Nothobranchius furzeri: one gene and its partners. The protein of the gene in region 3 interacts with the protein of the main gene of each other region in a pairwise test. Links are inferred from orthologs where the notes say so. Each region holds a gene or a part of one and is shown on either strand. Other genes may lie near its edges. The genes, in order: id1, id2a and myod1.

What was found.
Region 1: the proteins of myod1 (region 3) and id1 interact in a two-hybrid assay, tested with the Homo sapiens proteins (5 studies listed by BioGRID). The link is inferred for Nothobranchius furzeri from reciprocal best matches to the Homo sapiens genes MYOD1 and ID1.
Region 2: the proteins of myod1 (region 3) and id2a interact in a two-hybrid assay, tested with the Homo sapiens proteins (2 studies listed by BioGRID). The link is inferred for Nothobranchius furzeri from reciprocal best matches to the Homo sapiens genes MYOD1 and ID2.

Annotation. Positions count from the first base shown.
Region 1 is NC_091743.1:40,070,942-40,074,007, forward strand, and holds id1 (DNA-binding protein inhibitor ID-1), read right to left. Parts: upstream 1,771-3,066; 5' UTR 1,671-1,770; coding exon 1,317-1,670; intron 1,075-1,316; coding exon 1,039-1,074; 3' UTR 543-1,038; downstream 1-542. UniProt on the Homo sapiens protein: Transcriptional regulator (lacking a basic DNA binding domain) which negatively regulates the basic helix-loop-helix (bHLH) transcription factors by forming heterodimers and inhibiting their DNA binding and transcriptional activity.
Region 2 is NC_091758.1:30,331,895-30,335,599, forward strand, and holds id2a (DNA-binding protein inhibitor ID-2a), read left to right. Parts: upstream 1-1,224; 5' UTR 1,225-1,442; coding exon 1,443-1,796; intron 1,797-2,058; coding exon 2,059-2,115; 3' UTR 2,116-2,119; intron 2,120-2,780; 3' UTR 2,781-3,093; downstream 3,094-3,705. UniProt on the Homo sapiens protein: Transcriptional regulator (lacking a basic DNA binding domain) which negatively regulates the basic helix-loop-helix (bHLH) transcription factors by forming heterodimers and inhibiting their DNA binding and transcriptional activity.
Region 3 is NC_091749.1:52,557,067-52,561,386, forward strand, and holds the start of myod1 (myoblast determination protein 1 homolog), read left to right. Parts: upstream 1-1,504; 5' UTR 1,505-2,579; coding exon 2,580-3,110; intron 3,111-4,079; coding exon 4,080-4,149; intron 4,150-4,320. UniProt on the Homo sapiens protein: Acts as a transcriptional activator that promotes transcription of muscle-specific target genes and plays a role in muscle differentiation. Together with MYF5 and MYOG, co-occupies muscle-specific gene promoter core region during myogenesis.

The DNA of each region.
Region 1 (3,066 bases), on a different chromosome or scaffold from region 3:
CAGCTGTGTGTTGAGGAATGTGCAGCTATTTAACCTGAACTTCCCCAGGTGTGCCGCGGCGCCGCTCAGTCTGGGCCCCGCCGCCCTCCCCTGCCCTTGGCACAAAGCTATCACACAAACACAATCACGCACTGGCCACGCCGGGCTGCAGCTGTGCGCATCGCACCGCAGGGAAATGGGAAAAACATCGCACCAGGGAGACGGAATAAATCTCCACACCAGAGCCGCTTTAACCCCCGCGGAGCCGGCGGGGACTCCGCTTCACGGTGTTTACCCCTAAACCGAGCATTTTATGAACGCTTGAGCTAATGTTTAATTTATCACGTCTGAAATTAATGCATTGGTTAGTGACAAACTCTCCCCCTGACCTGACACCGTGCTGTAGGGACCCGCACAGCCTTTATGTTAGTCTACCTGCAGCTGAAGCCTGGTGGCACCTGGATGACTGCAGCTTCTGACAGCAGAGGTCAGAGTTAGCCTCAGAACTACATCATCTGTCTCATTCTCCTTCTGGTTTCATATCAACAGACACAACACGGGCATTCTTGTTCAAAAATAGTGTTCTTGTTTTAATAAAAACGCAAATAAAGTACATTGCAAGAAACAATATCTTCACATATGTGGCATTGTAATATACAATACAGTTTGGTCGCTCAGGAATCTGAGAAATAGCTTTCCTTTCACAAAATATTGAGATCTGTATATGATGTACACGTGATTATACAGAGTGTAACAGAGACGTAAAACTCTACGAGCAGCGCTGGTTGCTCTGGACTTGTCTTGGTCCCCCGGACTAACCCGGTCTTCTGCATCTGGACACCACGGGTGCTCCTCTGGTCCCAGGAGCCCTCGGAGGAATCGAGAGCTGGTTGAGACCATCTCGGCCTGAGGATGTCCTTTTTCTAACAGTTGGGAGTTTCAAACGTCCCTACACAGTTCAAGGCTCAGGATTTAGATGTGGATTCACATCAAGTCGCCTTGTCGGTTCTGGTTGGCGGGCGCAGACGGTGGGATGATGGGGAGGTGCTCCACTGGATCTTAGCGGCACATTATCCTGTCGTCCGAGCATCCGTTCTGCAGGAAGGAGAAGGAAAACACCAGGAGGTTAGAACATGTAGTCTACACACACACACACACACACACACACACACACACACACACACACACACACACACACACACACACACACACACTGAATCTATGATCTGTCACAGATGGCGAACCAGCTTTTACGCACGCATGTTGCGCATCGACTTAAACGTTAAACGTAAGCCACGCAGGTATGTTACCACAGGTGTGACTGACTGGATGTTTACCTCCACTGAGATACTGGCGAGCTCCGAGTTGAGCGTGGTGAGCGGAGTGCGCGGCGCGCCGCTGACGGCGTGCTGGCGGCTCTTCTCCGGCTCGTCCAGCTCGACCTGCAGGTCCCAGATGTAGTCGATGACGTGCTGCAGGATCTCCACCTTGCTGGCCTTCTTGTTTGTGGGCAGGGTGGGCACGAGCTCCTTCAGCTTGCTGTAGCAGCTGTTCATGTCCTGGAGGAAGACGCTCATCTGCTCGTCCAGCAGCGGGATCTTGCACTTGGAGATGGCGAGGCTCTGCTCGGACAGGCCGATCTCTCCCCCGACCTTGGTCTTCAGGGCACAGGTAGATCCAACAACCTTCATGTTGTGCTGATTAGGAGGCGTAAGTCAAGAGTATTCTCCTCTCAGAGATCTTCTCAGTCAGTGTTGACAGTTGTCTAGTTGACATGGAGGAACCTCCTCTGGTTTATAGGCATGCAGCAGCAGGGGGCGTGGCTGCGCGGTCCAGTTTGAAGCAGTCAACCAATGAGAGATGTGCGGTTGTGTTGACAGGGCGGTGCTGTGCGTCTCTCTCAGCCAATGAGGATGCGCGACTGGTTATCAGACTTTACAATCTGTTAGAAGGATGGCGTTACAAATGGAAACAAATGTGTGTCTTTATGGGTAATATGTGGGAATCCAGCTGTCCGCGGCTTGGGTACTCTGCAGGTGTAGACTGCCTGGGGACGGAGGGTGGGCGGTGCATGCCGGGTAGGGTGTGTGGGATGGGACGGAGTGAATGGGATGAATGGCGCTGACAATTAGGCTACCACAGTGCCCCAGATTTGCTTCTCACAATAGTTGGTGCTGCAGATGTGGCGGACAAAGGGACAGTAACCGGGGAAGGTGAAGGTGAACCTGTTGGGGGCGAGGCTTGATTTCACTTCCCTGGTTATTAAACATTAAATGTGTCCAGCAGAAGAACTCAAAACTGTCTATTCTCCCAGAACGCAGCAGATTCCTTCACATGTGTGCACACTCAGATCACATCACTCCCTCCCTCCTCCCAGATTGTCCAAACAAGCCCGAGCAGACTGGCAGGCGCCAGCGTGGTGACGTCACCCATTCATCCGAGCCCTGACGCCTGTCAGCCTGGCGCCGCTCGGGCGGTCTCTGTGGAGATGTCAAACAAGGAAGCTCGCGCTCCTCCATTCACCTGCGTGGAGGATCCTGAGAACAAACTGGCTCTGGAACCTTTTCTCCTCCATTTATCACCTTAAAGCGGCGGGATGAGATTACCGCCCCGCACCTGCAGAGTAAAGGACAGCCGGGTAACAGCGGAGCGACAAAGGAGGAGGAGGAGGACTCCTTATTATGATGTTACCACATTCTCACACAGACAGCCGCTGGATTCCTCCAGTCAGCCCACTTTCACTACTAAATCTGTCCCTGTGGTTCCTGAAGCTCCACTCAGCTCCCAGATCTCCTTTAAAGATGAAGGAAAACTTCTACAAACAAAAGTTTTATTAGGCTGAACTCTCAGAATATCAACAGAAAATAGTTTTGCTTATTGTCATCCACTTTACCTATTTATGTTGTTTTAAAGATCAAAAGACCAAAGCTGGTATGACTCTTCAGGGCGCAGGTAGATCATTTTAAAGTCCCACAGACTGTTTCAACTTTCATGAAGACTCAAAGGGTCGTATCTCGATTGTTCTATGGCCGACACCAAACATGTTCTTTCCATTAAATCCCTCTCACAGAAGCAATCTCAGCAGTT
Region 2 (3,705 bases), on a different chromosome or scaffold from region 3:
GATTTGCACCGATGTGGTCTTGCGCCAATTCATCACCTGGCTGTCAGGCATCAGTCAGGGGCGTCGTGCGAAATGAGTTCACAGCTGTGGGAGCGATGGGAAGAACGGGAGAAAATGGAACAATTCTTTGGCGCCAGATGTGGACGCAGACTGCAGGAGTTTCAGATTATGTTAGAAATGCATAAAACAACAACTAAAGGAGGAACAGAACCGCGCGTAAAACAGAAGCACAGATTGTGTTTTTCTGAATAGAACATTTATTTGGGTTCCAGCATCTCCGATCTATATCGGCATTTTATAATGCAAAAGCTTGTTTTCTTTCTTTCTGGTGTGTTAAGTATATTAAAATTACCTGAAAATGAAATTATATTTTCTAACACTCATGAAAATGTAGTTTCCATCTCCTTAGGAACGCGTGGGTTGCTCCATGGATCAAACCTAAAGCCCCAATCCACATCCCAAAAGCCTTCACCGGCCCCTGGGGGTAATTACTTTGCAGCGGCTCCAACAGCACCCCTGTCAACTCCAGCTGAAGAATGGAGCGTGTAATTCCAACAAACAAATGGCTCATTCAGGAAGCATTAAAATGTCAATTGTTATTAATCACTTTTTTCACGTGCTTAGTGTCACATTTTTCAATTTCCACAATGCCGACGGCCATCAAGGTGCACAGGATACGTTTTATTATATTTTAGATTCTGTTATATTTCCAAATTATTATTCACTGTATACGCCAAATTTACTATTAAACGCGTCTCCAAACTTTTTACGCACGTTTTGCGCGTAAAAGCGCAAACGCTTTAAGATTGGATTTTTTTTTCTGCAGGTAAAAGCGATTTTATTGTCCTGATGGACCCTCTGGGATTTTGGTTCCTCACAAACTTGCGGGCTGATGTAAATTAGGGATGATCAGACGCGCCTGAGCTTGGTGACCAGATCGCCAAACATCTGAGTCTGTCATCCACAAGAAAGGCGATCACAAAGGCGATTTAAAAAGCCCGTTTGGCTTTTAAATAGTTCAAATACACAAAAGCTTTCACGATTTACACCAAAACGTCCCCTTGTCTTGCTCCTGTCCACTCATATCCATCATTAATTTTCTTGAGCAGAAACAGGTAAGGGCTTAATTTTCCCAATTGCCCTCCGGAGCTGCTGGAGCGCTCTCTGTGTTCCGCCTCCAACATGCGTTGCCAGTGGTAACGTGATGGAGAGTGGGCGTGGTTCGAGCGAGAGAAGCCAATAGTTGGTGCAGAACACGTTAAGTGACAGCTTGGATACTCCCTATCAGCGCGTTTGACCCGCCCACGTCACAAGCACGGGCTGTCATCTATATAAACCACACTGACAGCTAGGTAATCCAGTCTGATCGCTGATCGTCTGACTAAAACAGGACTTACCAGAAAGAAGAGCGGACGCAAACGCCTCCTAACTTTCCTGACAGAATGAAGGCAATAAGCCCCGTGCGATCCTTCCGGAAAAACAACGCGAATTTTTCGGAGCACTCCTTGGGAATCTCTCGGAGCAAGACCCCGGTGGACGACCCTCTCAGCCTGCTGTACAACATGAACGACTGCTACTCCAAGCTGAAGGAGCTGGTGCCCAGCATCCCACAGAACAAGAACGTCAGCAAGATGGAAATCCTGCAGCATGTCATCGACTACATCCTGGACCTGCAGATCGCGCTGGACTCCAGCGTGGCGCTCACCAGCCTGCATCACCCAGCGCGGCCGGGGCAGACTCCATCCAGGACCCCCCTGACCACCCTCAACACAGACATCAGCATCTTGTCATTACAGGTAATTACACCGGAGCTGAAAACACTCTCATACACGCGCACACGCACAGATCCACTAAGGTGTCTTTTTTATTATCTGAGCGCAGAAACGGCGCGCCTCTGCCGATGCGCACAAAATGGCTTGTTGGGGGCGAAAGAAAATGGCTTTTTGTCTTCCTTTTGTTCACAAAGACAAAAAAATCCGCCCAGATTGTTGCACCTTGACTGAACCGACGTCTGCGCGGAGACTTTAACATTTGGTTTGTGTGTTTGTTTGTTTTCAGTCCCCGGAGTTGCCGTCAGAGCTGATGACAGATGACAGCCGGACCCTGCATCGTTAAAGCGGTAAGTAGGCTGTCCTCGTGTCTGCTGCTGCAGTCTGTCCAGGGCTTCTTCCAGCCTGTCTCCCAGTCTGCTAGAGCAGAATGGAATAGAATTACCACTCACCAATCCATTTGTTCCCCTGCTGACGTCTCACGTTGCTGTAATGATTTCAGTATGCGTCTTTTCTCGGTGTTGGTGTGAAAGAAACGCAGTTAGATCGACCAAAAACAAAATAATCCTAAAAAAAAATGAGATTTTGAGTTTGGATCTGAAAGAAATCCCCCCCCATTCTACTGTTGTCCTAGTGGTGTTGCCTCTTGTGTCTGTAATGAAGAGCATCTGCAACAGGAAAATAATGGCTGTTTGGATTACTGCTACTACGATGTCTGCACATAATTGGTACAAGAAGTGGGTAGGCGCCAGCTGAGCGGCAATTACGCTGATTCTTCCCCAGATTGTAGGCTGAAGTTGTGCGAAAAAGTGCGTGCGTGCACGCGGCCCCTCCCCCGTTCCCATCGTGTGTGTGTGTGTGTACATCTGGAGCGCAGGGTTTGCTTAGCATTGGGAGTGTTTGGTTAAATGTTAAAAAACTGCGGCTTCCTCCCTGGCGCCAGTCTGTCCGGATCTCTGCCCTGTGTGCGTTTTCTAAACACGCCTCTCTCTCTTTCTCAATCTTTTGCAGGTGTTTGGTCAAGACGCAGAAAAACACGCGTGCGCGCGCGCACAGGACCTGGGGAGCAGGACTTTCCTCCCCACCTCTTCAACCTCTCTGTCCTCCAGGCCTGGACTTTTTCTTTTTCCACTTCTGCTGAAATCAAGAGACTTTTTTTTTTTTTTTTTTTTTTTTTTTGCTTATTATGGGACAATCTTTATGTGATGTGTTTTCTGTTTGGACACCTTGTTATTTAATTTAAGACTTCTTTATTTGTGGGTCCTTTCTGGAAATGGAAGGCGCATTATGTTCCGGAATCACAAGGATTAACTCCCGTTCCCTCACCCCTTGTGTCCCCCAATTCTCCTTGTTGAACTTCGCTTTTTTTGCGGAGGTGGGAACGTGTACATAACAGGCAACCTGGTTAGTTACTGTAAAATAATAATATTAATAATAATAAAGGTTTAGTCTTGTCTTGTCAGAATTGTTGGCACATGAAGGACTGGACGATGTTTGAAAGAAAACAAAAAAAGGATCAAATGAAACTTTGTGAACTCTCACCGGGAGTTAAAATCTTGTATAGTTGCAGGAATTTGAAACTTCTGCAAAAAGTGTAATGTTGTACTTAATTATGCTGAAACTTTTTATAAAAGTAATGTAAATTGTACCTTTTTATACAAAATAAATTAAAAACACAACGTGAACATGTTTCATTTTAAGGGGGGATATTTGGGGGTGTGGAGCGCAAAATCGGCTGATCCAGAGGCGCGCGCGCGCTGATTTGACATCAGGGACAATTGGAGTCCAGTAAGGTGTTTTTATGTGACCCATGTCATCTAAAAGACTACATCTCCCAGAAGGAACAGTTGTTTGGAGGACCAGACTCCACTTTTACTTTCTCACGTGGAAATGGGATTAAGGCTGGAGGTCTGACCCACTTCATCACAATTAGTCG
Region 3 (4,320 bases):
CTGTGTGGTGGAGATGCTAATGCTTGGTGGTTGGATTGTCTTGCCTTGACATTGTGTACCAAGATGGGTGAGTCCATGAATGCTAATTTTCAGTGTGACATAGATCTGTCAGGCTTTCTTATCAAAGTGTTTTCCTGTCTGTTTGCTACTGGCGGCAAATGCAGGAAATGGGGTAGGAGACTATTTTCACATTCAGCTTGTATGTTAAACTCAGTTGGACAGATCATATTTAACAAATTACAAGTAAAAATTGGTTTCTTTTTGAACTTGGGCTTTAAACTATTTAATGTTAGCTGGATGTTAAACCAGTCCCAGTAATAATTTACCCATGGGGGAAATGGATAAAATAAGAAATATTACCAAGAATTGGATGCGGTTCTTTGGAAACTGCAGTTTCACATGTCTGTGAACGCATGAGGTGGGACATGTGAAACCGTGAGATTAACACCTTCACAGGAATGCTCTTTCAGATTCATTTCAGTCACTGCAGATGAAATTCTATGTCTCACATTACTGGGCTGGATGTGCTCATGTTCATCGGTCAGTTTGTGGGGGGTTAACAAACCTGGAAACATGATCATGTGTTGAAGCTTTTAACATAACCAGACTTTTCATTAACAAACTCCCCAAAAATCAGTGGATGTTTAGTTTTTTGGCTATTTTCAGAAAACAATGTTTTTGAATGGCATTGTGAATATAAGGCAGCCTTACCTTAAACCGGTTTGTGTTCAGTCAAATTTAAAAAATGAAAAGATGAAACATGTTTAAAAATTTAAAAGAGTTTTCTTCATTCAAGACTTTCAGGAAAAGAGTACAGTTTATGAAATTCTCATCTATGATTCGGATGACGTGTTGCAGATGTTTCTAAAATGCTCTCATATATAAAAATAACAAATAAATAAATAAATCAGACATCAGGTCATCATCCAGAGTCCAGCAGCAGCTGTTTACTGGCAATAAAGACCACGATGATGATGACGGAAAATATTTTTTGTCTGACTCTTGTGTCTCACTTTCCCTCACACACACACACACACACTCACACACACACACACACACACACACACACACACACACACACACACACACACACACACACACACACACACACACACACACATACACATACACACGCACACGCACACACGCACACGCACACGCACACACACGCACACGCACACATGCATACATGCACACATGCATGCCTACATAGAGACAGAGAGAGAGAGAGAAAAGAAAGAAAGAAAGAGAGAGACAGAGAGAGAGTAGAGAGGGAGGGGGGAGAAAGAAAGAAAGAGAGGGGAGAGAGAAATAGAGAGAGGAAAGAAAGAGAGAGAGGGAAATGAAAGAAAAGAGAGATAGAAGAGAAAGAGAGAGAGAGAGAGAGAGAGAGAGCGAGAGAGAGAGAGAGAGAGAGAGAGAGAGAATATTAGATGCCTGTTGAGATTTTGATGTTAGGAAAACAAATGAAGTGCAATGACGTGTTGTGTTCAAGTTGTGTAAAAATTATAATTTTTATAAAGTCCTACTGATCTGAACAAGATTTATAGAAAAAAAAATACAAAAAGTATTCAGGTTTTGCGAGGTTATACGATAGTTTTACCTCAGATGCAGTCTTCCAGGGGTCTCTGCCCTGCTGTGTTATAGTTTGTTTAGTTGTGTTAGTTATTGGAAACCAAAAGGCAATATCATGGCTCCAAAAGAAGACAAATGTTATGGTTCCTTTTTATTGGACAAATGATGTCAGAGACACTTCATGTATGTTTTTCAAGACTTCTAAAACACATTTCATGTTAAATATTTGTGTTGAAAAACATCGAGCATATGACTGAATCAGAGCATTTTACTAATACCGTTTCACATATTTGTGCTGGACTAGGATTAGTGTGTTTCTCGGGTCATTTAGATCAGTACTGAAGATATAAAGTAACTAAACTGTTCTGATGCTGAGACTGCTGTGAGCTCAACTCTATCAGGTCTAGTAAACGCTGAAATCATGTCTGGGTTCTCTGATAAAAGCTCATGAGTACAAATCTTTCCTGTTCCGATCTCATGAAAGAGGAGATTCATTTCAGATGAATCCTGAATCTCAGCGCAGGAGTTCTAAACGCTCATGATTGGATAAGATACGTTTTTTGAGCTGATGAGTCTGGATGTAAAGAGGTTCAGTCTTTTCTTTTTTGTGTGTGATGACGTGTTTGATCCCTCAGAGTTGAACAAGGACTCAACAGCTGACTCTTTGATTTGTGATGATGGACTTGACTGTCGTTTTTATTGCTTCCTCTTTATGTTTCGTCCCCTTTACACACACACTCACACCCGACTGCACCATTGGTCACTTGGGTCGTGGCCCCGCCTCCACACTGACTGCTATATAAACCCGGACCAAGCCAAAGCAGCTGAGGTTACACAGACTGGCCCTTTAAACGCTCTGTCATTTTACTATGTTCTGGTCAGATGAGTTTGAGATTTGCGAGTCGTCCTAGGAGACACTTCATGAGGATTTCCTTCTAAAGTCTGATATCAGAGGAGTGTCACAACAAAAAGACTTTCTGCTGCTGCTTTCAGGGAGTCGTTCAATGGATTTGTCAGATTTTCATTTCCCTCTTTCATCTACTGATGACCTCTATGACCCCTGCTTCAGCACCAGCGACCTGAACTTTTTCGATGATTTGGATGCCCGGCTGTCACACGGCGGCCTGCTGAAGTCAGAGGACCACCTTCATCACCACGTCCCATCATCAGAGGAGGAGGACCAGCATGTGCGGGCCCCTGGAGGCCTCCATCAGGCGGGCCACTGCCTGCTGTGGGCCTGTAAGGCCTGCAAGAGGAAGACAACGCACGCAGATCGGAGGAAAGCAGCCACCATGCGAGAAAGACGGCGGCTCAGCAAAGTCAACGATGCATTTGAAACTTTGAAGCGGTGCACGGCTTCCAATCCAAACCAGCGTCTGCCCAAAGTGGAGATCCTACGGAACGCCATCAGCTACATCGAGTCTCTGCAGGCGCTGCTGCGGGCCGGCCAGAACGACAGCTTCTACCCGCCGCTGGAGCACTACAGCGGGGGGTCGGACTCCCCCGGCACCCACTCCAACTGCTCCGACGGCACGGTGAGTCTGGGAACAGCTGAAGGGTTCATGTGCTGCCCCACGAAATGTAAGGAATGTGACGGGAGATTTATTTTGGGCCACGGTGATTAATCTGGACAAATGCAACCTTTAGCATGGATCCCAGTGGATTTCAAATGTTTTGCACCTAAACAGAAAGTTTGTCAAAATGTTGTCTTTCAGTTACAAAAAAAATCTTTTTTTGTTTTATTACTACAGAATTGACTAATATTAAAGCAAAAGGTGTTATTTGATGCTGAAGTTATTTATTTCAGGCTGAAAACTTTATGTGCTTTACTTGATTTGGGTGGTGGTGAGTATTATCAGCTTACTGTTGATGTGTCATATTTACCAAAATGTTATTTGTCATCTCTAATCCCTGGACCGTTCTTCTGACTTAACGTAACATTTTTATCATTTTCATCATTTCATTGAGCAAGTAGCGCACATTAGAGTACCAGGAGGGGAAATGTTTAACTCTGTGAGAGTTACCGTGGACAAAAACCAACATTGTTGATTTAGTTGTTTTTTTAATCAAATCAAATTCTTCTCTTTCTAAATAATAAACTGAACACCAGTTTTTGTTTTATTTACACATTTAAAAACAACATATTATATATACATATTATATTTAGACATCTCAACTTTATGATGTGGGGTGAGAGCACATCTTTAATAATAATAAAATTAATCTTTTTTTTTTACAGTGCAAGACATGTTCTAAAGAAATCACTAAATTATACTCATTAAATCCAACCAGTGTGTGTGTGTGTAATCACAGAGCTGTTGTTAATCATAAGATTTGTTTTAACTTGAACATATTACTTATTCAAAACAGTGCTAAAAATTAATAATTTTAATGAACTTTTGAACCTGAAATGTCTCTTTTTGTCCATCTCTACGTGTTGTGGGTGTGAGTCTGAGTAAAGCTGAGGTTTTAAACACTCACTGATGATTACGTTTTATTTTCAGGCGGATTTCATCTCACCATGTTCGAGCAGAAGTGAAAACAGCGATTCTTCTTATGTCAGACAAACAGACGGTGAGCTCATTTAGCACGTCTCTATCTACCGGAGTCAAAATGTGTGCATCTGCTACTTTACATTAGATTTCATATTATTAACATTAACAAACAGATCCAAGGGTCAGGACATTTCTTTAGTCTTTTATTTCAAAGATCTCTTCTTAAATAGAACTTCTTTTTTATTTAAAC